Linked DNA regions of Tamandua tetradactyla. The protein of the gene in region 1 binds, or shares a complex with, the protein of each later gene. Links are inferred from orthologs where the notes say so. Each region holds a gene or a part of one and is shown in the gene's direction. Other genes may lie near its edges.

Region 1 (7,531 bases):
CAGAGGCTGAGAAAAATACAACCAGCAATTAAAGTCATGTTTTCCATTATTAACAACAACAAAAAACCACCGACAATTCAATTCCACATGTCTAGTTTCATCCGAAACGCTCCACATGAAAGACTTATTCTGGTAAGAGCACCCCCAGATTTCATTACAAAAAAAAAGGGTTGCCTTTTCAAACTTAAGTCACATTAAAGAGAACGTATGGGACTTGCATATCATGTATATATTGCCAGAGTGGGATTCCTCTCTTCTCAGTTCTTTATCAGCCACCTGGGAACATTTTACAACCCAGAGGCTAAGCTCAAAGTACTCAATATCTTCCCAGGATCAGCCTAAGGACTGGTGTGAGCCCCGAGGTGGTGTTCACCCCAAAAGGAGATGGAATAACCGACACAAAAAGAAACAAACACAACTGCTGGACTCTATGCTGCCTCGTGCTTACACAGGGTTAGCTACTTGCGTCTCAAGTTTGAACTTTTAACACCTGGGCATTCTGGCCATACTGGTATATCAGAAAGATCACTTGACTCAGAGTCAAGAGGTGGGGGTTCCAGTCCTCACTCTGCTATTGGTAAGTAAAGCTTTGAGTAAGATGTTTAAACTCCTCTTTACCTTCCTTGTGTGTCAAAAGGGAGCGAGTCTAAAGCTTACAATTCCTCGTGGGGCTATTGTGAGCAGAGAATGAGGAAAGTAGGCCAAAGTGCTTTGTTTTATTAACATTACACTAATGTAAGGGATTTATATTATGAGAGGGCCAGGGAATTCCCTTACTTTCCTAGAAGGGAAGAAAGGATGAGGTTCATGCCTATTTTATCAGTAAGAAAGGACTAGAATCCACCTATTTTATGTTAATGATGAGACAGAAGAGAGTGGCGTAATACGAATGCTGGATGTGTCATTATTTTTATTAGAAAATTAACACAAGGTTTAATCATCAAATAATGTGACTGATTTTTAAATAAACATATCTAAATGGGTGTTGTCCCATTCCAAGTCATCTTGGCAAGTGAAACACTTATTTAAATTCTATTTCTCATCATTCAGATATTTTTAAACTTCTCTTTTGGAATCCTTCCTAGAGCCTCTGGCACATTATTCTGAATATGTCTGAGGGTGACAGATTTTTGTCTTTCGTGGCTAATTCTGATTTTTGTAAACAGCCCAAGTTATTTAGCACGAGGGTTGGTAAATAAGTTCCATAATGTCACTTTTTAAAATTGAAAATAAGCTATGACTATATGGTAGGAAGAATGTTTTTCTTTCAGTAAAAAGATATTTACCTAATGTATAGACTTCCCTCCTCCCGTCTTAGCTGAAGAAGACTCCACCTTAGAACTGAAAAGAATGACCAATGGGTTTCAAGAATTGAAAGCATTGTTGGAAAGGGCTTGCGCCTTCATAAGGTGACAACATTAAAGGAGAAAGCTGCTTGGAAATGTATTTATAGTCATACCTTCCAATGTTTCTCTTGCAAAACTGAGTGCCACTAGCCTTTGTGTTTCCTGGAAGAAGAGCCCTGCAATTAACCACCCATTCCAGGAGGAATTTTTTCACACCTCCACAGGGCATCTGAATATCTCATCTGCATATAAATTGACTAACCATTTATATGTTTATAAATTTATATGTTATAAATAATATTCATTAGAAACAATATAGAAACAATAATTCTAATGAATTAACATCTGGGTCTATTGGAAATATAGTGCCCAGTATATTCAATTATAACCCATAGATTCTACACACCATTTAAAAATCTGGATTTTTCTTCAGTGATGAAACAAATCTATCTGAAAATTAAAATGTCACTAATATTATATTGTAACTTGCAGTGACTGCTACAGTAGATTTGCTTCTGGCGCAAACAATTATTAGTGTTATTTTTAAAATAAACACAATGGAACTTTCACTCTTTGAAGTTGCACATAGTATGTATTCCAACGTTAAATGATGCCGATGACTTTTCTTTTATGGAATATATTTATTTGTTCTCAAACACTCTTTTATTGGGGTAAAATTCCCATCACACAAAATTCACCTTTTTAACCATTTTAAAGTGCACAATTGTGTGGCATTTAGTATGTTCACAATGTTGTGCAGCCAACATCACTAATTCCAGGACACTCTCATCACCCCAAAAGGAAATTTTGTATCTATCGGGCAGTCACTCTCAATTCTCCCCTCAACCCCAGCACCTGGCAAATGTGAATGTGCTTTATGTCTCTATGAAATGCCTATTCTCAACATTTTATATAAATGGAATCATACACTGTGTGGCCTTCTGTGTTTGGTTGCTTTCACTTAACATGTCTTCCAGGTTCACCCATGTAGCCCATGTATCAGAACTTCATTGCTTTTTTTATGGCTGAATAATATTCTATTATATGGATATACCACATTTTGTTTTCCCATTCATTCCTTTACTGATGGGCAACTAGGTTGTTTCTCCCTTTGGCGACTGCAAAAAGTGTTTCACGTACGCTTTTTTTCTTATACACATTTTTTTGTGTACACGTTTTTGTTCGAACAACTGTTTTCAATTCCTTAGGGTATATACCTAGAAATGGAATTGTGGGGTCCTATGGTAATTCCATGTTGAACTTTTTGAGGAACTGCCAACTCCCTAACTCATTTTTATTTTCAAAATTTCCAAGGTATCAATATCACCAGACAGTTAGTTAAGAGGCAGTCGGACAGCTGAAGCCAAAGCCCAGGCTGGGCCCAAAGAGGTCTCTTTTTCAGAAACAAACCAATAGGGCAGTCAGGCTTGTTCCATGGGAAGACTACAATCAGGGCTTTGAACAGCTTTCTTTGTTACTCTACCTGTCACAACATGACTTGGCTGGGCAGGAATACCTCCTGCCTGCTAGGTACTCTTTGTTCTTCATTACATAGCACACATTAAAAAAAAAAAAGTGTATCTAATGTATAGGCTTCCCTCCTCCTGTCTCAGCTGAAGAAGACTCCAGATTTGCACCTGTAGTCCAAGCAGGAATGGTGCCTGGGGGCTGACTCTGTGCTGGTCAGGGGCGACACGTTAGGCCCTTCCTGGTTGGAGAACAGGCCTTCTGGAGCCTAGAAAGAGCTCCACCCCGTGTAGGGTATTGCACTGCCCAGGGATTCTGACCCTATCAACCTGCAGAAGAAGGCGGTGACTGCATATCGTAAACCGTCCACCCTCTGGGGTTGGTCAGGACAACCAGAGATCATTCTACTACCAGCATTGTTCACAGCAGCTAGTTTACTGAGTCACGAGGCATCTCAGTAATTAACCCAACCCCAGGAGTAAATGATCAGCACCTATTTTTTAATTACACGTGCTCGCGAGCCTCTCTGCACGCTCACCTCTCATCTCCCCCCACCGCCCTAACACACAGGAAGCTCCCCTGTTACAGGAACCCAAACCAAGGAGCACTGCGTTGCGCTGCCAAAAGCAGAGGCAGAGTAAAACGGCTTTTCCCACTTGAAACTAAACAGTAAGAATCGGCTTCCAGGGTCCTCGCTAGGTGAGTCGCTCTTCCAGCCCAGCTGTCACTCGCCAGGTTCATTCCCCAGCAGTCCTTTCAGGTGTCCTGCTCCGAATCTGCTGGGACAGAAAAGCCCCTTGGCTGGTCACATCCTCTGTAATCTAGCAGGAAACCTACGAAGTGCCTGCTCCTGTCCTCCGTCTGTTTGCTTATCTGTTTCCTCGTCGGAAGCGCCCGCAGGACAGTGTCCGGTTTAGGGGGATTTTCACCATGACCTCACCCTCCGCCGCCGTCCAGCTTCCCGCGCGGCCGGCGCGCCCGCAGTCGGGGCGCAGCTCGGAACCCACACCAGTGACACGTCTCCGAACGCCTCTCACATTAACACCAACTCCAGCTCTTCCTCCTTAAAGGAGGGCCCGTACAGAGGTCTGAGAATGCCACAAAGACCTGCAGGGGTGCGGGGGTGTGGGGTGGGAGGAGAGGATGGAATAAACACGACTTCTGGTTATGGTTCTGAGCTTGCGAGAGCAGCATGTCAACTGAGCCGCGGGGGAAAAAAAGTACCCCCAAGACTTCCAGGTGTGTTCGCCCGCCGTTTGGGTAATTTTTTTGAGTCAGTATCCTCGAAAAAGGCATGGGAACGGTGACAGCAGGCGGTGGGCACGTAACCGAAAGAAAGGGCGGCGGAGATGGCTGAAGAGAAGGGGGAGCCCAAAAGGCAGTGACCAGGCCCCGGCCGCCTGGCCTCGGGGGAGGAACCCTTCGGCCCCTAAGTGCACGCAGTTAATTAAAGGGAAACAGAAAGTCGTGCTCTGCAGGCGCACGCAGGGCCCCAAGCCGCCCGGCCCAGCCGGATGCCACGTGACAGCAGCTCCCGGCCTCCGCGCGCGCGCCGGGCGGCGGCCGCAGGCACGCGAGAGAGCCAGCCAGCGAGCGCGTGACTCATACGTCTCGGTCAGGGTGCGGGAAAGAGGCAGCAGCGTGCGTGCGCGTCTCCGGGAGACAGCGAGCGCGCGTACGCCCCGGGGCCACCGCCCCTCCCGGGCCCGCCCTCCTGCCCTCCCTCCCCGGCTCACCCGGCCCTCTCCCTGCCTGGCCCGCCCTACGAATCACTTTGCTCGTTCTCCCCTCCCCGGGTGCGCTCGGGCCGCCGCAGCGCTCTCCGCCCTCCAGCCGCCGTGCCGGAGCCGCCCGCCGCCCGAAGAGGAGGTGGAGGGAGCCGGAGGGGCCCGCCGAGGCGGCCGCGGCGGCGGCGGCGGCAAGATGGCGGACTTCCTGCCGTCGCGGTCCGTGCTGTCCGTGTGCTTCCCAGGCTGCGTGCTGACGAGCGGCGAGGCCGAGCAGCAGCGCAAGTCCAAGGAGATCGACAAATGCCTGTCCCGGGAGAAGACCTACGTAAAGCGGCTCGTGAAGATTCTGCTGCTGGGCGCGGGCGAGAGCGGCAAGTCCACCTTCCTCAAGCAGATGCGGATCATCCACGGGCAGGACTTCGACCAGCGCGCGCGCGAGGAGTTCCGCCCCACCATCTACAGCAACGTGATCAAAGGTGCCGGGCCGGGGGTCGGGGGCCGGGGACTGAGGGCCGAGCCTGAGGTCGGCGGCGGTCTGCGCGGGGCCGGCCACCGCCCTCTCCCGCTCGGTCCCTAGCGCAGGATTGGCCCGGGCGGGGAGGGGGCGCGCCCCGGGTACCAGTCGTGTCCACCCGGGACTCCTTCGCCTCCAGGTGAGGGGATCCCCGGGGGGCGTCCCGCTTTCCCCCTTGCTGCCCCTGTGGGGGTCACGACCCGTTCCCCCCCCATCCCGCCGCTAGCTTTGCTCCCTCCTAGAGGAGAGTCAGGCGAGCGGGTGTCTCAGGGTGCATGGTGACCTCGTCTGCCTTCCTCCCTCCAGATGAGGCTGGAAGACCCGAGAGCCGGCATGAGACCCTACCCCCCCCCCCACCCCGCCCCTACCCCCGCAGGTCCTGCAGCGCAAACTTCGCTGCGCGGGGTGGGTGACCGAGTCACATGGGCCGGGTCTGCGCCCAACCCCCGGCTGCCTAGGCCGCCTTCTGAGCCACGGGACTTCTGGAACCGTTGCAAGAAGAAAACTTTTATCCGAGTCTCTTGTCAAGGGCGAAGGGTGACAGCCAGTCGGTCTCTTTTGGAAAAGCATTTGATACTTAAGGGTGTCATTTTCTCTGTGTTCGATTCAGGAAAGGGTAGATCCATACGGTTACCTCTGAAAAATTAACATCCGTGGTTTTTCGCCGCATTGTCACGGTCGGGCAGGATGTTTGCCCATAGTCACTGTGCTACACGTTCCACACTGGTTTTTTGTTAAGTGGGGGGAAGTGGGGAGTGTACCATCAATTGCTTCTCCTAATTAAGTGAAATTGAGTGATAATATTAAGAATCTTTGGCCTAAGATGCCCTTGCTGTGAACCCGTTTTGGTTTGATAAGTAGGGTTGAAAAGTAAGAAAAGAGACTGATCATGCTTCTTATATAAAATGAAGACTGTTGTTATTTTATATATTTTATATATTATCTAAGTATTAGTTAATATTTATAGTAGACTTGAAGGTCTAATATTTTTATATAATAAGGATTAGAAATTAACGTTTGGGTGATATTAAAGTTTTATCTGCTCCCCCAAAAAAGAGTCTTTGGCCTAGAAAAAGGGATGTGGATTCTGTACAGGTTGAGTCACTAAATTAAGATCAGTCTCAGGTTGGGTTACAGGTTCTGCTTCTGTTTGACTGTATCTTTTTAATTAAAAAGTTAAAATTTGTCCTTAAGTGGAAAAGGCACAAAATTTTTAATTCTGGACTTAAGAGAATTAGGGAAGAATGTTTTTCTTTTGCCATTTGAAAATAATTAGCATTCATTTTTCTTAGAATCACATATTTTCTGCATAAAAAGCATTAGGACAAAACTGAGTCACAGAGCTTGGTACTTAAGGCGCATCAGGCTTCTCTTTTATCTGAGTATCATTTATCTAGGAGTTTGCCACAGATTTGGGGGCTTTTCAAACATTTTGTGGTCCCCACCCCCCTCCGCATGGGCAGGCACTGGGAATCCAACCCCCGTCTCCGTCTCCAACATGGCAGGTGAGAACTCTGCCTGCTGAGCTACCATGGCCTGCCTTGAAACGGTTTTTTAAAAATTTTTAAGTGGGATGTTCAAGAAGTACTTAAGCAACTCCTTCATGTCATTTTTTTTCTCCAAGGGTTTAGTAAAGAAGAACTCCCTGAATGGGGAGGAGCATGAAAGTGTACAGACCACTGTGAGAGCAGTTCTCTTTAACCCTGCTTAAAGTTTAGCACAAGACTAGTTAAGGTTTCTTTCAAGGCCACAGACTGTCTGCCTTACCACTCCTTAATTGAAGGTATCTTTGTATCCTGGTGCAGCTGAATTTAAGGAATTATGCTAATGAGCAGAGTCAACATGTTAACTGATCTAGAGCCAGGTAAATAACTGGTTCCTTAATGAGCATTGGATTTTGAGCATTGGTGATGAAGGCACCTAGTTTTGTTGAGTTGGCATAATCAGAAAATTGACAGAAAAATAGTTTTCTAGATACCCAAAAAATGGTTTCCAATAGGCATGTGACTGTGAAGATGGACAAATAAGTAACAGTTTAGTGATTGACTTTTGGGTTTGAACAAACCTCAGTGAGTTGCAGTCCCTATTTTTATCTCATTTTGTAGTTGAGTCTTCCTTTCAGAGATTCCAAAGACCATTCTGTGATGTACAGTATTTTGAAGTTTGATTTGGGAGAAGTTTCTGAGTTTTTTCTGTTCCCAGCAGACACAGTGTTGCGGTAGACAGGGTGCTGAGGGAACAAATAGAATGCAGAGTGATAATGATTGGGTCCTTGGCATTTCATAAATAAATGTCTTTTTGGTTAGGCTCATAAAATTCTGGTTGTAGCCTTTTTCTTAAGAGCCTGAACACCAGGCCCGGCAGTATTTATTTTTTTCCTTCCTTGGTTTTAGTTCCCTTGTGATCACCTTCTACCCCAGAAATCTTAAGTTTTATAAATTAAAACATGTTAAAATCCTTCAAAAGAGCAGTTG
Region 2 (7,496 bases), on another chromosome or scaffold:
GGAGCTCCGTTGAGCCCAGGCTCCCTCCAGGGGTGAAGGGTGGAGCCAGGTAGACCCGGCGGAGAAGCTGCAGCTGCTTTCCCAGCTCCAGGACGGGGAGTTCTGGGTCGAGGAGGCAGAGTTCCTCAGGGAGTTTGATGAGGTCACCGTTGGCTGTCTTGTCACAGAGGCTGGCCACCTGCTGAGCCTCCACACAGGTAACAGGCCGGACCCTTGATGCAGGACACTACTCCCGAGCCAGGTGGCCTTCGGGTCGGGGGTCAGACCTGGGGCTCCCCCTCTTACAGCAGGGGCAGTGCTTGCCCTGGCCCCGTTTTGCTTTTCATCCAGCCTCTTTCCCACCCCGGGCTGCTTGAGGAGGTGGGGAGCACGGGGCCCATCTGTTGTGTTTCCACCCCTTTCCCCGCGCACAGAGGGATGGTGCCGGTGTAGAGCTGTGGCCCAGAGCCCACCTGCCTTGTGTTTCTGCACTAGCAAAGGTGTTATGCCATACTCAGACGCTGCCTGGGGCCTGGATCCGCGGGCATTCGGCAGGAGGTTGCCGGAACAACAGCAGTTTTCCCAGCAACCCCAAGTTCTGGCTGCGGGTCTCAGAACCCAGCGAGGTGTGCATCGCCCTCCTGCAGAGACCTGGGGTGCGCCCAGCTGACTACACCCCCATGGGAGACGACCGTGCAGCTCAGAGCCACTTCAGGGCCCTGGGCAAGGACTACCGGGCCGTGGGCCTACACGTCTGGAAGGTAACTTGGCCGGGCTGGCACCCCCTCGCGGGATGAGGGCGAGGACGCCCAGTGTTGGGGTTCAGATGCCTGTCACTCCCTGCACAGTGTCAGTGTAGCATGACAGGAGCTGTCTACCCGGGGACCAGACCCCTGCCTGGGAGCAGAAGAGATGGGGGCAGGACAGCGGTTCTGCCTCCAGGGATTTTCCCCCAGCCCTGAGCTTCCTCTGCAGCCCCTGTGTCCTCGCCTACGCAGCAGGGCTGGTAACCAGCCTGGTTGTTTGCAGGATGAGTTAATAGGGCAGGATGCTTCCATTGCAACCTGGGCCCTCAGCAAGAGCTGCTGGAGGCGCCCACCCAGCTCTGCTCTGCGAGGGCCAGAGCTCTAAGTTTGGGGCAGGTGTGGGCCCCCATTGTGGGCTGCTTGGTTTTTAACCTCACAAATCCTCATGGGTCTCATGGCCCACGGCAGTGCTTACCCGTAGTGGGTGCGACCTGGCAGTGTTCCCTTCCTCTGGCTAAGGGAGTACCAGAGTGTCCTTTGCCCAGCAGCCCATTTGCACAGCCGCAAGTTCCTTTTGGGTACAGCTCATCTTGTCCCTCCATTTCCTTCCTGGGCGGGCATCTGACGGGACTGCGTGGCTGGTCCTTGAGAGGATAGGTCATGGGGCTGGCAGGCCGGGCACCCTGCTCCATTCCCTCGTTTGGCGAGAGACCCTTCGGCTCCAGCAGCATGCCAAGATCACCCCTCTGCTGACCCCTCCCTGCCTCCCTCAGGTGGAGGGGCAGCGCATAAGCCTGCCCAGGGTCCTGTCCACGCCTCCCGTGGCCGGCACCAGCTGCCACGCATATGACCGCGAGGTCTGCCTCCGCTGTGAGCTCTCTCCAGGCTTCTACCTGGTCGTCCCCAGCACCTTCCTGAAGGACATGCCTGGCCAGTTTCTTCTCCGGGTGTTTTCTACTGGCAGGGTCTCCCTCAGGTGAGGAACAGGAGGCTCCCTGAGGCATGTGGGGGGTCTGCTTTGCCCACGCCTGTGACACGTGATCATATGGGCCACCCACCACCGGCTGCCCCCAAAACTTCTGTTGCTTTCTCCCCTGGCAGTGCCATCAAGCCAGCGCCCGGGAGCCCTGTGTCCCAGCAGCTGCGCCCTGCCGGAGAGTGGGAGACCGTGCGGCTGCAGGGCTGCTGGAGAGTCGGCCAGAGTGCGGGGGGCAGCAGGAACTTTGCCTCCTACTCCACCAACCCTTGGCTCCCCCTCTCTGTCCCTGAGGGTGTGGGATCGCGCTGTGTCCGCATCACTCTGCACCAGCACTGCCCAGACAGCGAGTGGCGCCCCATCGGCTTCCACATCTTCCAGGCAGGCTGCACAGTGGGTGGCTCATGTGGGGGCTTCCTGGGTGTCTGGATGTTGAGGCCACCTGTCCGCGTGCTGGTCTGGACATCAGGAAGTGGATGTACGGCTGTGCCAGCCCTCACCGTGGATGAAGTGTGGTCGTGGGCAGGTCTCCTGGGTGACTGGGGAGAGAGCCAGGACAGGGCTATGCTATTCCCTGGTCCTTCTTGCCCTGGCGGTATCTCGGGAGATGGCAGAGCCTTGGACTCTAGTTTGGGCGCTGTGACTTGGTTGGCCATCATCCCTGGGTGTCATGAGGCCTGGCTCAGAGCAGCTGTTTCCACAGCCTATTGTTCTCTCAGAACCTCCGAGGTTGGAGAACAGGCTGGCTCTGAGGGCTGCTGCAGCAGAGCTCTGGGTGGAGATCCTGGCAGGAGACCTGCCATGAAGGAGTTGAAGAGACCACCCCAGGCAGCACTTAGGGGGCCGACCAGGCCCTAGAGCCCCCATGCAGTCCCAGCCTCCAGGCGGGAAGCTCATGTGGGGCTTCAGCAACCTGCCTGTGGCGGGGGAGACAAGCGGGGTGGGTCCCACAGAAACTCTAGGGCTAGGTGGCTTAACTGTCTTCCTGTCAATCTAGAATGGGAGCCTATCCCTAAGTACCCTGGAGTGTACCCGTGGAGAAGTGGGTGTGGGCATCCTGGGCGGCAGATGTGGCAGAGGGTGTCCTGTGCCCTTTGGTGGGCAGGGCTGCTGCCTTAGCGAGCCACCCAGCAACCTCCTAGAACCTGCTTCCCTCCCCGGGCTGTTTGTCAGGGTCCAGGTGAATCTTCTCTGGGCATTAGTGGGTTTTCCAACTAAAGCCCCTGGTGATTCATTGGTGTAGCCAGGTTGGGAAGAGTGCCCAGTCTGCCAGGGTCTTGGTGGCCCTCAGGAGGTATGGCGTGGGGGCAGGGACTAAGCCTCCTGAGAGCCAAGCAGGCAGGGCCAAGCTGCCACTAACTAGAAGGGGAACCCCAGCTAGGAGCTGGGACAAGTGTCCTCTGCTTGGGCTGCTTTGGAGCCTAAGCGGGAACCCTGAGGTTCTGTGGCAGAGGAGGGCTCTGTATCTCTGCCATGGCCCATCAGCCCTGTGCCTGGACTGCAGACACTGGGCAGCCTGCCCCCGCTTAGCCCCTGCCTCTCCCTAGGTTCCAGGCAGTGGCCAGGACAAGCCCTCCCTGCTGTGCCAGGAGCCGCTGCTTAGCTGTGTGCCACATCGCCACGCCCAGGAAGTGAGCCAGCTGTGCCACCTGTCAGCGGGCACCTATGGGATTGTGCCCTCCACTTACTTGCCTGACATGGAGGGAGCCTTCACGGTCACCATAGCAACCAGGATAGACAGGTGGCCTCTGAGGCTGAAGAGGGCAGGGGCTGTTGGCACCCTAGACACGGCTCCCACCTTCCCCTCCCCTCCCCCTGCCTGGGACACCCTGTGGGGCCTGGCTGAGCCGTGGGCAGTGAACCTAGTGTGCGGTGGGGCTGGGAGTGCTGCCCTGTGGGTGTGGGGGAGGTGCCAAGGGGCCCCAGGACTGTGGGGTGACTGTGGGGCCCTTTCCCATAGGCCGTCCATTCAGAGCCGGGAGAGACTGGGCCAACTCCTTCAGGAGGTAGGTGGGGGCCCGGGAGGCTGGCCCAGTCGCCTGCCCTGGGGGCACCAGGAGCTGCCTTCAGGCCCGGGAGGTGGGAAGAGGGCATCACGCCCCCCACTGCCCTTGGGAAGGAGCAGACACAGCTGCTGCCCAGCACTCCCACTCCCCACTTTCCTCTCACAGGCTTCCTTTAGGGCTGTGATGCAAACCTAAGGGGAGGACCAGCTCGGTGATGGGGGACCAGACCGGGCAGCTACCGTGCCCTGGCATAGCAGTTCCTGGACAGCTTGGACCCATGGCCACCTCTGCCCACTGCCAGCCAGGCTAACCCTCTCCTCCACTGGGCAGCTGCAGTGCCTGATGATGCCAAGCAGAGCGCCCTTTGGGGAACAGTGGGTCTTGTCCTGCAAGGGGAGGCAGCCCCTGGGCTGCTCAGAATTGCCTGGAGTCAGGCAGGTGCTGTGAGGAGGGCAGGAGACCCTCATGTACACAGACAGCAGACATGCCGGGTCCCCTGTGCCTAGCACTTGAGAGCACCCACCCCTCTCCTGCATCATCATGTCAGTTCCAGCAGAGGCCTCACTCCCCTAAGCGTGCATTGCAGCACATCTTGTAAAACTTGAACTTACTGTTACTTGAGGCATTTCTAAGATGTAATTTTATAAACACGTGATCTCTGGGCAGCTCACAGGTGATTTGTTTTCAAGTAACCCTGAGAGGTGCAGCAACCCTGCTGTTTCTGAGCTGGGGCTCTGGGAGGGGAGGTTGGGGGTAGGGGGCTCTCAAAGGGTGAGGGGCAGTGGGGTGCCAAGACAGAGGTGCTGCCTGGGTCTGCGGAGTAAAGGGCCGTCCTGGTCACATGCAGGACACACCCAGGAGCTGACAGCTGGAGGGCAGCCTGTTGTCCAGTACGCTTGTCACCAGCACCCCTGTCCTTCCTGTATCTGGGCAGATGACAGCTGTGGTCACTCTGGTGAGAGGACTTGGCCTGAGGCTCCTGGGAGAGGTCAGCCCACAGAGCTGTGCTGCCCTTGGGGCCCTGGAGTCCCTGGCACATGACCCCTGCAGCGAGCCCTTTCAGGAGCTGGGCTTAGGGGACCAGGGGCCACTGAGTTCTCTTCCCTGCCTCAGAGCCCCTTCTGGAAGTGGGCTTTTCACCAGACACCCTGCTGAACCCAACTGTCCCGGTGCATCTCCCGTTGCCCAGCTGATGGGCCAGGCTGGGGACCCACTGCAGGCACCTGGGGAGGGCGGCCAGAACACGGGGGCTGCTCTGGTCCCCATGCCCCATCCTGGAGAGGCCTCTGGGGCTGCACTCGAGTTGTGGCCCTTGCACTTCCTGTCTGTTAAGTCTGAAAGCGTCTGTCTGTCCGTCCCTTAAGCCATCATCTGTCAGTAAGAATCAGCTTCTATCCACTTTTTCTCTGCAAGGCAGTTGAATAGTAAAACATTGCTCCCCCTGGGACAGGGCTTCCCTACCCCAGCACCTCTCTCACACACACACACCCAGGGCCAGGCAGCTGGAACCCTAGAATCCTCTGGTCCAAGGCTGGGCCCACCTCAACATCCTGTTCCTGGGCTTTTCCCTGGTGTCCTGGCCCCGGATGTGCCTGCCGGGTGGGGGCTGCTCGGCCCAGCTCTGTCAAGGAGGAAACCACAGTGGTCCAGGCAGGAACCCTGTCCTGGTGACACTCTTGGGGCCTTAGAAACCTCTGGCTTCCACCTACCCCCTCCTGCCAGACCGAAGCCCAGGCCCATTTGGGATGGCCAGGTGAAACTCAGGTTGCACATTACGGGTTGCCCCGCAGGCTTGGGGCACCAGGACCAGCTGCCATCCCCTCCTCGTGCTGACCAGCCCCACTCTGGGATCCCCCCCCCCCCCAGCCTGGCTCAGGGGCCCATGAATGGCACCAGTCTGAGGCTCCATGGCAGGGGCCACACCCTGGCCCAGGGGTGGGGGTAGAGCTTTGCAAATCCAGTGGTAGTGCACAACGCTGGGCCCACTGGGGCTGCTGGCAGGTCTCCGGCCAGGCAGATGTGGTTGTGGGCAGGCGAGCACACCTCCCGTCCTCCCACCTTTCCCAACTTTCCTGCAGACTCTGCCCCCGCCAGCATGCAGGTTCCCTCCCAGTGTCACTTCCTGCTTCAGGTGCTGCAAGTGCCTGCTCCACCCTCTCTGATTGGGGGCAGCCTTGGGACAGAGCTCCTGAGGTGAGTCTGGAGGGCAGGTGGACATGGCAGGGGGTGGAGGAGGGGCAGTGGTTCTGGGCAGGAGGCCCTGGCCAGAGCCATGGTGGGTGTTCCCGGCTCTGCACCCTCCCATGCCTCCCTGCGCACTTAGCGGCCCACCTTGGGAGCTGCTCCCGCCTCTTTCTCCTGCCTGCCCCCCTGGCTTTGCTCTTGTTTTTTACCAGCCTTAATCTTTACCAAAGTTAACCTAGCTGTGTGGCCTTTTGACATATTTTATTCCCGGACCCTCCAACATGAGGCCCAGGGGAGGCAGCTGCTTGGGAGGGTCGTGAGGTCTTTTCTTGTCTGGAGGGGGCAGCAGGAGGCTCCTGCCTGCCAGAGGTGCTGGGAAGGCGCTCAACCCGCAGCCATCAGACCGTCCACGCTGGGACGCTCTGGCCGTTTCTTCTGATTCCCAACAAGGACAGGCCATGTCCACCCAGATGGCGCCTCCGCGGCTGGGCTGGGGACCAAGGCCTGCTCGGGACCGCGCCGGAGGCTCAGTCCCGGTACGTGCAGGGATCCCTGCAGCGTGGGCCCCACCCACAGGGCACAGGGCCAAGCCGGCCCCTTCCTTGGCACCTACACGAGTCGGCCGCGAGGCAAGGGTGCTGGGTGGGGAGCAGGCTGCTGGAGGACCCCATCAGGGCTGGTGCTGTCTCCGACTCCGGGTGGTGTCTGTGCATCGTGCAATGTCTCTGTGTCCAGCCGGCCCCAGTGAGAAGACAGCCTGGGGCTGCTGATCACCCCCCCAATGCTAGAGACGCTGGGTAAGCGCTGGGGGTGGGGCACTGCACGCGGCCTTAGGATTGTCCTCTGCACGTGGGTCGTCTTGACGGCCTTGACAGTGGGGTGGCGAACAAGCTGGTGGCTGCCAGGGACGGGACCACCCCAGAAGCACACCTGGGCTCCTTCAGGTGGGGGCCTCTGGGGGGGGCCAGGCACACTGAACCTGGAGAGGCAGCAGAGGCTGTGGCCATAGGGGCGTTTGGGCCATATCTCCCGGGCAGAGCCTCGCATGGTATTTCTGGAACTCTCCCTGCTGAAGTCTTGGGGTACCTCGGGGATCCACCAGGAAGGCGGCTGCCGCCATCGGGCATAGGCGGGGGCGGGAAACCGGGGAAGAGGCGCTGCTGGGGGGCAGACTTCCCCTAGCCCCAGGGCGCACCTCTCCGGCTGGTAGGTCTCTGCTGTTCCCCTCAGTGTTTTGCAGCTTCTAGCATGCATGTTTTGCATGTTTTCTTAAGTAGCTTGTTTTTTGATGGCTTTGTAGTTACAATTCTTTCCAACATTTGTTCCTTGCTGGCACATAGAAATGCAATTGCGGGTGGGTTGGTGGTTTTGTTTTTGTTTTGTTTTATTTTTGATACATTAACCTTGTATCCTGTAACCTTGGTAAATTCAATTATTAGTTCAAATAATTCCTTAGGATTTATAACATATATGATTATGTCATTGAGAAAATAGAATTCAACTTCTTCCTTTCCTATATAAATGTGTTTTTTCTCTTTTTTTGCCTTATTTCCACTTCAACACTGTTTTGGATTGAAGCGGCAGGAGTGACTGGCAGCCCCTTGC
Region 3 (7,031 bases), on another chromosome or scaffold:
TGGTTACATTTTGGGTTGTGCAAGCCTCACCGCCATCGGTACCAAAACTTTTCCATTGCCCCAGATGGAAACTCCGTGCCCATTAGCTGTGAGCTCTGGTTGCGCTGTGTGCAAAAGCTCTTAGCACAGTACCTGCAGCTGTTAAAATTATTATGCTGGGGAGGGTTTGCAGAAAGGACGGCGTCCTCTGCCTTCCCCACTCCCCCCCACCCCTCCCGGGCCTGAGGGACCCCAAGGCTTGGGGTGGAGACGTGGCATGACCGGCCTCCCCACCCCGTCCCTGTAGCTGAAAGTGGGCCCCGAGCCCGGGGCCTGCAGAGGCGGCTGCTGTTCAGGGCCTGCCAAGCGCAGCATCTGGAAAGCTTCTCGGCAGCCCTGGGGCCCCTTTTCCCCAAGCACAGGGACTCGGCTCAGATACTTCTCCTCCTGCAGTTCCTCCTGCCAAACGCCGAGACCTGGTGGGGGCTGGAGGGGGGTTCATGGAGGCCCGGGCAGGATGACGACAGACCTGGGGCTCCTTTGATTTGGGGGTGCTCACAGAATTTGGGGATGAGACGGAATCGGAGAGTAGAGGTTCCACATGTCATCATGGACCCAGGTGGTCCTTTGCGCTCCCCATTGTTCTACTTTTGTGTGTGTGTGTGTGTGTGTGTGTGTGTGTGTGTGTGTGTGTGTGGTTTGGGAATTGAACCTGGTCTCCTGCAGGGCAGGGGAGCATTCTACCACTGAGCCACCCGTGCACCCACCACGGTCCTTTGTCCTGACCCCCTGAGGGAAGGATGCATGTGGAGGGGGGTGCCACTGCCTAGAGGCTGGGGGGCCGGGGTGGGGGCTTAGCTTGAACAAGAGCGTGGCTGGGTGGAGAGGGCCCAAACAGTGCTAGTTCGAATCTCACCTGAGCTCTGTGCCTCAGTTTCCTCATCCTTCAAATGGGGTGTCATTCCTCTGCCCGGGAGCTCCCGAAGAAGAGGGCGCCGTTTCCTTCCTCTCCCACTGCTCCCTCACCCGGGGGCTCCCCAAGGCAGGGCCCAGTTCTCTTCCTGACCCCTCTCTGCTGCCCCCAGGCCCTCAGGAAGTCCAGGCCTCCTGTTTTCCAGTTCTCCAGCTCTTTCCCCACCGCTGACCCAGTCGTGACCCCTTGCTGCCCCAGAAATAGGAGGGAGGTGGAAGTGGCCTGTCGGTGTTTCTGGGTGTCCCTGGGGACATCACCTTTGTCTGGAGTCCACAGTCCCTCTGGCAGACGGCCGGATATGTCTGTGGCCTTGATATCACCCCCCTCCTTCCCCAACCACGGTCCCTGGAGAAACTGCAAACTGCTGAGCCAGCCAAGGCGAGAGTGTGTGCGTGGGGAAGTTGGGGGGGAGCACTTCCTCCCCCCCGAGATTTCCGCTCCGATAGCTCCCCAGCGAGGAGAGGACCCAGTTCTTTTTTTTTGCGCCTGGTCCTTTGTGGGTGAGACACCTGGTTTCTTGAGATTGTCAAGGCAACGCATCTCAATCAGCAGAAGATGCAGCAAGGTCTGGCTAAAGCTGGAGCAGACCCCAGATACAGCCCTCAGCTGGCTGTATCCCCAAGATCAGACTGAAGTGGATCCTGAAGCCTGGCTCAGGAAAAGGCGGGGTGTCCGGAGTTGCAGCCGGTCACCCTCTGATTTTCTTTATTCCCCCGTGAAAGCCTCTCTACCTTGCAGCTTTCTTCTCTGGCTCCTCCACGATACTCTCAGCCTGTGATAGAATCCATTGCACGATCACCACTTGATAAACCGTGTTTATCAAATGCACTCCTATGTTGCTTAACATCATTATCTTTACTAATAATTTAAATATATTTATTTTTAATAATTTAATTTAATTTAATAATTTAAATATATTTATTTTTAATGCACACGTGTTCATTAATGTCCACATGTTGGGTAATAACGTTGATATGTTTATCAACAATACTATTTCTTAGGAATATTATTGATGTTATTAATTATTATTCTTACGGGGACTAGTTTACAACTTGAAGGCCAGTCATGTGCTACTTGTGATTTTGCACGTCTTGGTACATATTTTGAATTGGTAGCGTGGGATAAAATTTCCAAACAGCTCCTTAGCGTGCACCGTTAAAAAGTCTATCTCCCAACCCCCACCTGGTCCCCCAGTCTGCCCTCCTGAGGGCAACAGCTGTAACCGGTATTTTGTGTCACCTACCAGAGATGAATGCACAGGCAAATATGTGTGTATTTATACGGTTTTTATAAATACGCTCAGAAACGCAGGCAAGCAGCTCACACTGAGGTGCCCTGTGCTTCTCTCAACTAAAGACATGTGTACGTGCTTACAAGATGAGTCTATTTTTACTGTTTAACAGACATATGTGGATCCATTTTATTTCCCTTTTCTGTCATTTTGCTTTTTGGACAGTCTTTATTGAAAGATAAGATACATGCACAAGAGTGCACAAAACGGGCCCTCCTTTGAATCGGTTGTACTGCTCCAGATGAGGCAGCTTAGACGTTTTAATTTATTGTTGCAACAGGACAAGTATACACATGTTACAAAAGTCAAAAGGGAACAAAAGGGTTCAAAGAGTGAAATCAACCTCACTCTTATCCCCCATCTATCCCTTGTCATTCAATCCTTATCCCAGGAGGCAAAACCTGATGAGATTCCTCCTGGAATCTTCTGGATGCTCTGTGCACATACAAGAAAACATTAGCTCCATGGGGGCAGGGAGCTTTGTCCATTTTGTTTCCCCATTGACTCCAGCATACAGAACATTCCTTAAATAAAGAAGCACGCTCTGTATTCATTTTCGCAAGTGATAGCATAATTTCCGCGAGCCTCTTTTTTCTATAGATACCAGTTTTCAGAGCCGTTGTCGGTTTACAGAAAAATCACACAGAAAGTTCAGAATTCCCATATAACCCCCTCCCATAAATGTTAAAATACTAATAACATTTTGCTTTGGTGTGACATTTTGTTCCAACCGATGAGCCAATGTTGTTATAACTACACTATTGTAAAATCCATAGGGTACAGTAAGTAGTATTCACCCTTTGGTGATTTTTTTTCTTCCTATTTTATCCACCCTTGTGCTCTGGCTCCTGGAACAATACATGACAACCAAGAAGTGTTCCATAAAACAATTTGTCAAAAGGAATGAGGGACTTTTTATCCTGTCGTCTGGCCACGGGTTTCATACACACACACATGCACACACACAGGTACACAAGCATCAGTAAATGAAGACGCGCTTTGATTCAGCAGCCTGATGTACAGATGTGACCAGAAAAAGTTGAATGAGGGAAGCAGGGGGAAGCTAGAGTATCAGGAGGAAGAGTGAACCCCAATTTGGAAGGCCATGTGCAGCCTGGGCCTGCTGGTCGACCACAGCAAGGTGGGATAGTGCTGTAAGGAGAGGCAGGGTAAATTGCTGGGGTTTCCCAAATGTCCTGGGGGCAGGGTGCAGCGCCTGAGCTCTCCGGGGCATGTCAAGGCAAAGACCAATTCTGCATTTGAGATAAGGTGTGACACCTAGTAGCACCTTTGATCATTTGCTGGACAGCCACACAGTAGGCACTTAAAGCTACTTGCTGCACTGACACATGGGTGCATCGTGACTTCTTGTCGACCAAATAAAGGGGATCCCGGGATCTCCAGTTCTAGGGTCGCAGGGATGGGCCAAGTGTACACCTGGAGCTGAAGACAGGTCGTTTCAGGTTAAGGCCACCTGGCCAGGGGCGCCGTGACGTCACTGGAGTGCGTGACGTCACATGCAGTGGGTTCTCACGGGTGGGGGCCGGGCGGGGGGGGCGGACAAAGGGGCTCCTCGCACCGCCCCACTCGTCTCCCGCGCGCGCGCCCCGGCCGGCCGGCCACATCTGGAATTCATTGCAGCCGCCGCCGGAAAGGGGAGGAGAGGAGGGCGGGGCGAGAGGGGAGCCGAGACAGCGGCTGTCCGCGTCCCGCCTCCGTCCCCGGTCCCCAGCCCCGGGACGCAGCCCAGCGCGGCTGGCAGCCTCAGCCCCAGGCGCGTCCGTCCCGGGCACGCGGACGCCGAGGCCCCTCCGGCCAGGGCAGGGCCCCGGGCCGGCCTAGCCAGGTGAGTGCGCGGGGCAAGGCGGAGGGAGGCAGAAAGGGCGGGCCCCCGGCTCCTGAGGTCGCGGGATCCGAGCTGGGGGGGGGGTCCGGCTGGGGGTCCTGTTGCACCAGGGAGCACCCATGCAGCCCGTGCTGCGGCTGCACGCAGCGGGTGGTGCCCGGGCGCCCTCTCCATGACTCCAGGCTGCGCCCACTCTGTCGGCCGCGAACCCCCAGGCTGCGCTCCCCGCCTCCCCCAGCGGCAGGAAGTTGGCGCCAAGGAGAAGGCGGAATTCTTGTACTTTCGGCCCGAGACGCTGCGAGGGGGGACAGGGCGGCCGGGGACCGGGAATTTGGGGTGTGTTGGGGGGGCCGTAGAGCGCCCCTCCTGGCTGACCCGGGCTGGGCGAGGGCGAAAGGTGATGCGCGTCGCGGAGCGGTGGAGTCGAGGGGCTGGATCCGCGGGGAGGGCGGGCGCCCACCGCCTGCACGTCCACCTCTCTGCCTCAGTTTCCTCACACTGTCCGCCTCCTCCAGTCCCTCCTGCGAGGGCGTGGCTTTGCTCTAGAAGACAAGGCAGCGTGACTGCTTGGCTCCGGCGCCTCCTCCTTCCCCCAGACCCCGGGGATGAGGCTTGGGTGCAGGCCGCGCGTGCCGCGGATCCGGCGTGTTCGCGGGCCCGACGGAGCGCCCTCAGCTCGCCCCCTCCTCCGGCACGGGCTGATTCACCCGGGGATTTCCACCCTCCTCCCCCGTTTCTGCCCTTATCAGAGGCTCCGGGAGCCACGCGCTGAGTCCACGGGCCCCACCGTCGCGTGACGCGGGCGCGGCACTCGAGGGGCTGCGGCCGCTTGGGTCTCCCTTTCCCCAGCCGGGAAAGGAAATCTCGAGGCCGGGGCCCTGGCGGAGAGGAGACGTCCACCCCCAGCTCCACCAGGAGGCGTGGGGATCCTGCGCGTGTGGCCGTGGCGGGAGAGGGGAGCCGCGGCCTTAGAGCCAGCGAGTGTGGATACCGCGCATTCCTTGGGCAGATAAGGGAGGCCGAGAGGGCGGCCCAGGGCGGGGGCGGGGCCTGCTGCTGTCTCCATGGAGACGCGCCGGGCTTCACCCGCTGGGGGTAGGGTGGGCTGCGAGCGCGAGTCCCAGAGGCAGGTCGACCTCCTCTGCTGTGACTTTGGGCGGGGGCTGTGCTAGGGGCCTCCCCCCTCGGGGGGTCCACCGGGGTCCCCTCATCCATCCATCCATCCATCCATCCATCCACCCATCCATCCATCCACTCATTCATTCATTCATTCATTCTCTGAGCGCCATCTGAGCACCGGAAGGCCTTGGTGGCTGGTCTCCCGGCACACACATTTCTACCGAGGCAGCCAGAGAGAAAAGAGATACCATGATAATTTCCGATAGTGGCAAGAGCTGTGAAGATAAAAAAAAGCAAGTTGCTGTGCTAGAAGAAGGCCCGGGGAAAAGGCCCCCACTCTAGACCCCTAGTCGGGGGCGGGGGGAGGGGCGACCCTGAGAAAGTGACATTTAAACAGGAACCTGAAGATTAAGGACATCTGAGGGAGGAATGCGTGCCGCATCTAGGTGGAGAGGAGTAATCGGCAGTGGTTGGGGAGAGGGGAGGGGGAGGAGACCAGGCGGGGAGGAGCCCAGCATTCGGGGCTGCAGGGAGCCATGGAAGAATTCGGACCTGGGCAGTGACATACTGAATTTATAAATTATAAAGCTCCCCCTGGCTGCTGCGTGGAGAACAGCATGTTGGGGGGGGGGGCTGACCTCAGGAGGGAAACCAAAAGAGAGGGTGGGGACTTCCCTAGGGCAGGGGCCGCGGGGTCGGTGGGGACCCCAAGGGAGCTGCAACCACAGGGTCTGTCTATGTGGAACTGGAGGGCTGGCGGGCTGCGGGGGAGGCTGGAAGCCACCGAACCGTCCTCCCGCCTTCCTCTTGTCTACTCTTCTACCCCACAGTCCTATGTCCCTTCCTTTCCCTCCGGATCTTGTCACTTGTCCTGTCATTTCAGGCCTGGCCCTTCGATCTCCCGTTCTGAGCCCTTCGACCTCTTCCTGAGTCTCTGGGAGGGTCAGGCCAGCTTTGGGAAGGCGCTCAGAGGACAGGCCTGGGACACGGACCCTGGGATGGGGAAGCGGGCAAGGTCTCTATCCGCCTGGGTGTAATTCCTGTAAGCCCCGGTCTCCGCCCTTGCATCCTCTTTCTGAGAAGCAAGACTGCTGGCCTTGTATGTTTTCCTCTAGTAAGGCCAAGTGGAAAGGATGCGACCCAGGAGGCGCTGTTGGCCTCAGTTTCCCCTTTTCTGATTGCTAGAGCTGCCCCTCCCCCTCGAAGGTGGGACCGCGGTGCCCTCTGTGTGTCCCCTTCCCCCAGAGAAGACAGGTTTTTTTGGGTCAGTCCTGGGGTGTGAGGGCTGAACCCATTTCTTAAGGCCCCAGAAAACGATCATAAATCTTTCTCCAGGCCGCCAGAGCGGAGGAGGGTGCCCGTCCCCACGTGAGCCCTGGAAAGCGGCAGCACGCCCTGGGCTTCTCGCCCACCAGCAAGCATGGTTCCCAGGCCTGCGACAGGGACCTTAATTCCCAATTGCGCCGGCAGGCCAGGCCAGCCCGGGGGCGTCTGGTCGGGGTGACCCAGCGGTCAGGCTGCGGCTCCAGCTCTCCGGCTACGACCGCACAGTCTTGACTCCTACCCCGGCCGCCTGTGAACTACCCGCTCCGGTTCTAACCGCAGAAGCGCCCCCAACGGGGCCAATCAGATGCCGAGGATGGCGAGCTCAGGCCAATAGGCGAGCCGCTCAGTGCCCTGGGATTGAAAATGAGCCAATCAAGGCGCGGGCTGTTTCCGGCCTCGACCGCCTGCCGGAAGAGGCCGCGCGCACTGGACGGAGTCAGCCCCCTGGGTCGGCCGCGGCGGGCAGAGGGCATCGGGGCGCCCGGGGCCCTGTCCGC

What was found.
Region 2: the proteins of GNA13 (region 1) and GPR35 are in contact, whole or in part, in a cryo-EM structure (PDB 8H8J), measured with the Homo sapiens proteins. The link is inferred for Tamandua tetradactyla from reciprocal best matches to the Homo sapiens genes GNA13 and GPR35. Residues at the interface, in NP_006563.2 of Homo sapiens: Lys46, Arg47, Leu48, Val49, Lys214, Asn215, Val216, Phe218, Arg331, Gln337, Gln338, Lys340, Pro341, Leu342, Tyr343, Phe359, Arg360, Asp361, Lys363, Asp364, Ile366, Leu367, His368, Asn370, Leu371, Lys372, Gln373, Leu374, Met375, Leu376; in NP_005292.2 of Homo sapiens: Phe45, Gln51, Thr53, Thr55, Met59, Asp113, Arg114, Ala117, Val118, Pro121, Leu122, Arg123, Arg125, Arg128, Ala197, Leu198, Arg201, Pro202, Thr204, Asp205, Gly207, Gln208, Ala211, Ala215, Met218, Val219, Ala280, Lys281, Glu282.
Region 3: the proteins of GNA13 (region 1) and S1PR2 are in contact, whole or in part, in a cryo-EM structure (PDB 7T6B), measured with the Homo sapiens proteins. The link is inferred for Tamandua tetradactyla from reciprocal best matches to the Homo sapiens genes GNA13 and S1PR2. Residues at the interface, in NP_006563.2 of Homo sapiens: Arg47, Val216, Phe359, Lys363, Asp364, Ile366, Leu367, His368, Asp369, Asn370, Leu371, Gln373, Leu374, Met375, Leu376, Gln377; in NP_004221.3 of Homo sapiens: Ser66, Met68, Tyr69, Leu72, Arg130, Ala133, Ile134, Lys136, Val137, Lys138, Leu139, Tyr140, Tyr209, Ile212, Val216, Ser219, Gln227, Thr228, Leu231, Leu232, Val235, Tyr288.

Annotation. Positions count from the first base shown.
Region 1 is NC_135332.1:8,914,281-8,921,811, forward strand, and holds the start of GNA13 (guanine nucleotide-binding protein subunit alpha-13), read left to right. Parts: upstream 1-4,519; 5' UTR 4,520-4,736; coding exon 4,737-5,019; intron 5,020-7,531. UniProt on the Homo sapiens protein: Guanine nucleotide-binding proteins (G proteins) are involved as modulators or transducers in various transmembrane signaling systems.
Region 2 is NC_135329.1:217,652,371-217,659,866, forward strand, and holds the start of GPR35 (G-protein coupled receptor 35), read left to right. Parts: upstream 1-4,489; 5' UTR 4,490-6,427; intron 6,428-7,496. Other genes in the region: CAPN10 (calpain-10), read left to right, coding at 31-197, 475-740, 1,499-1,701, 1,827-2,559. UniProt on the Homo sapiens protein: G-protein coupled receptor that binds to several ligands including the tryptophan metabolite kynurenic acid (KYNA), lysophosphatidic acid (LPA) or 5-hydroxyindoleacetic acid (5-HIAA) with high affinity, leading to rapid and transient activation of numerous intracellular signaling pathways.
Region 3 is NC_135337.1:91,527,469-91,534,499, forward strand, and holds the start of S1PR2 (sphingosine 1-phosphate receptor 2), read left to right. Parts: upstream 1-4,024; 5' UTR 4,025-4,089; intron 4,090-6,596; exon of another isoform or gene 6,597-7,031. UniProt on the Homo sapiens protein: Receptor for the lysosphingolipid sphingosine 1-phosphate (S1P). S1P is a bioactive lysophospholipid that elicits diverse physiological effects on most types of cells and tissues.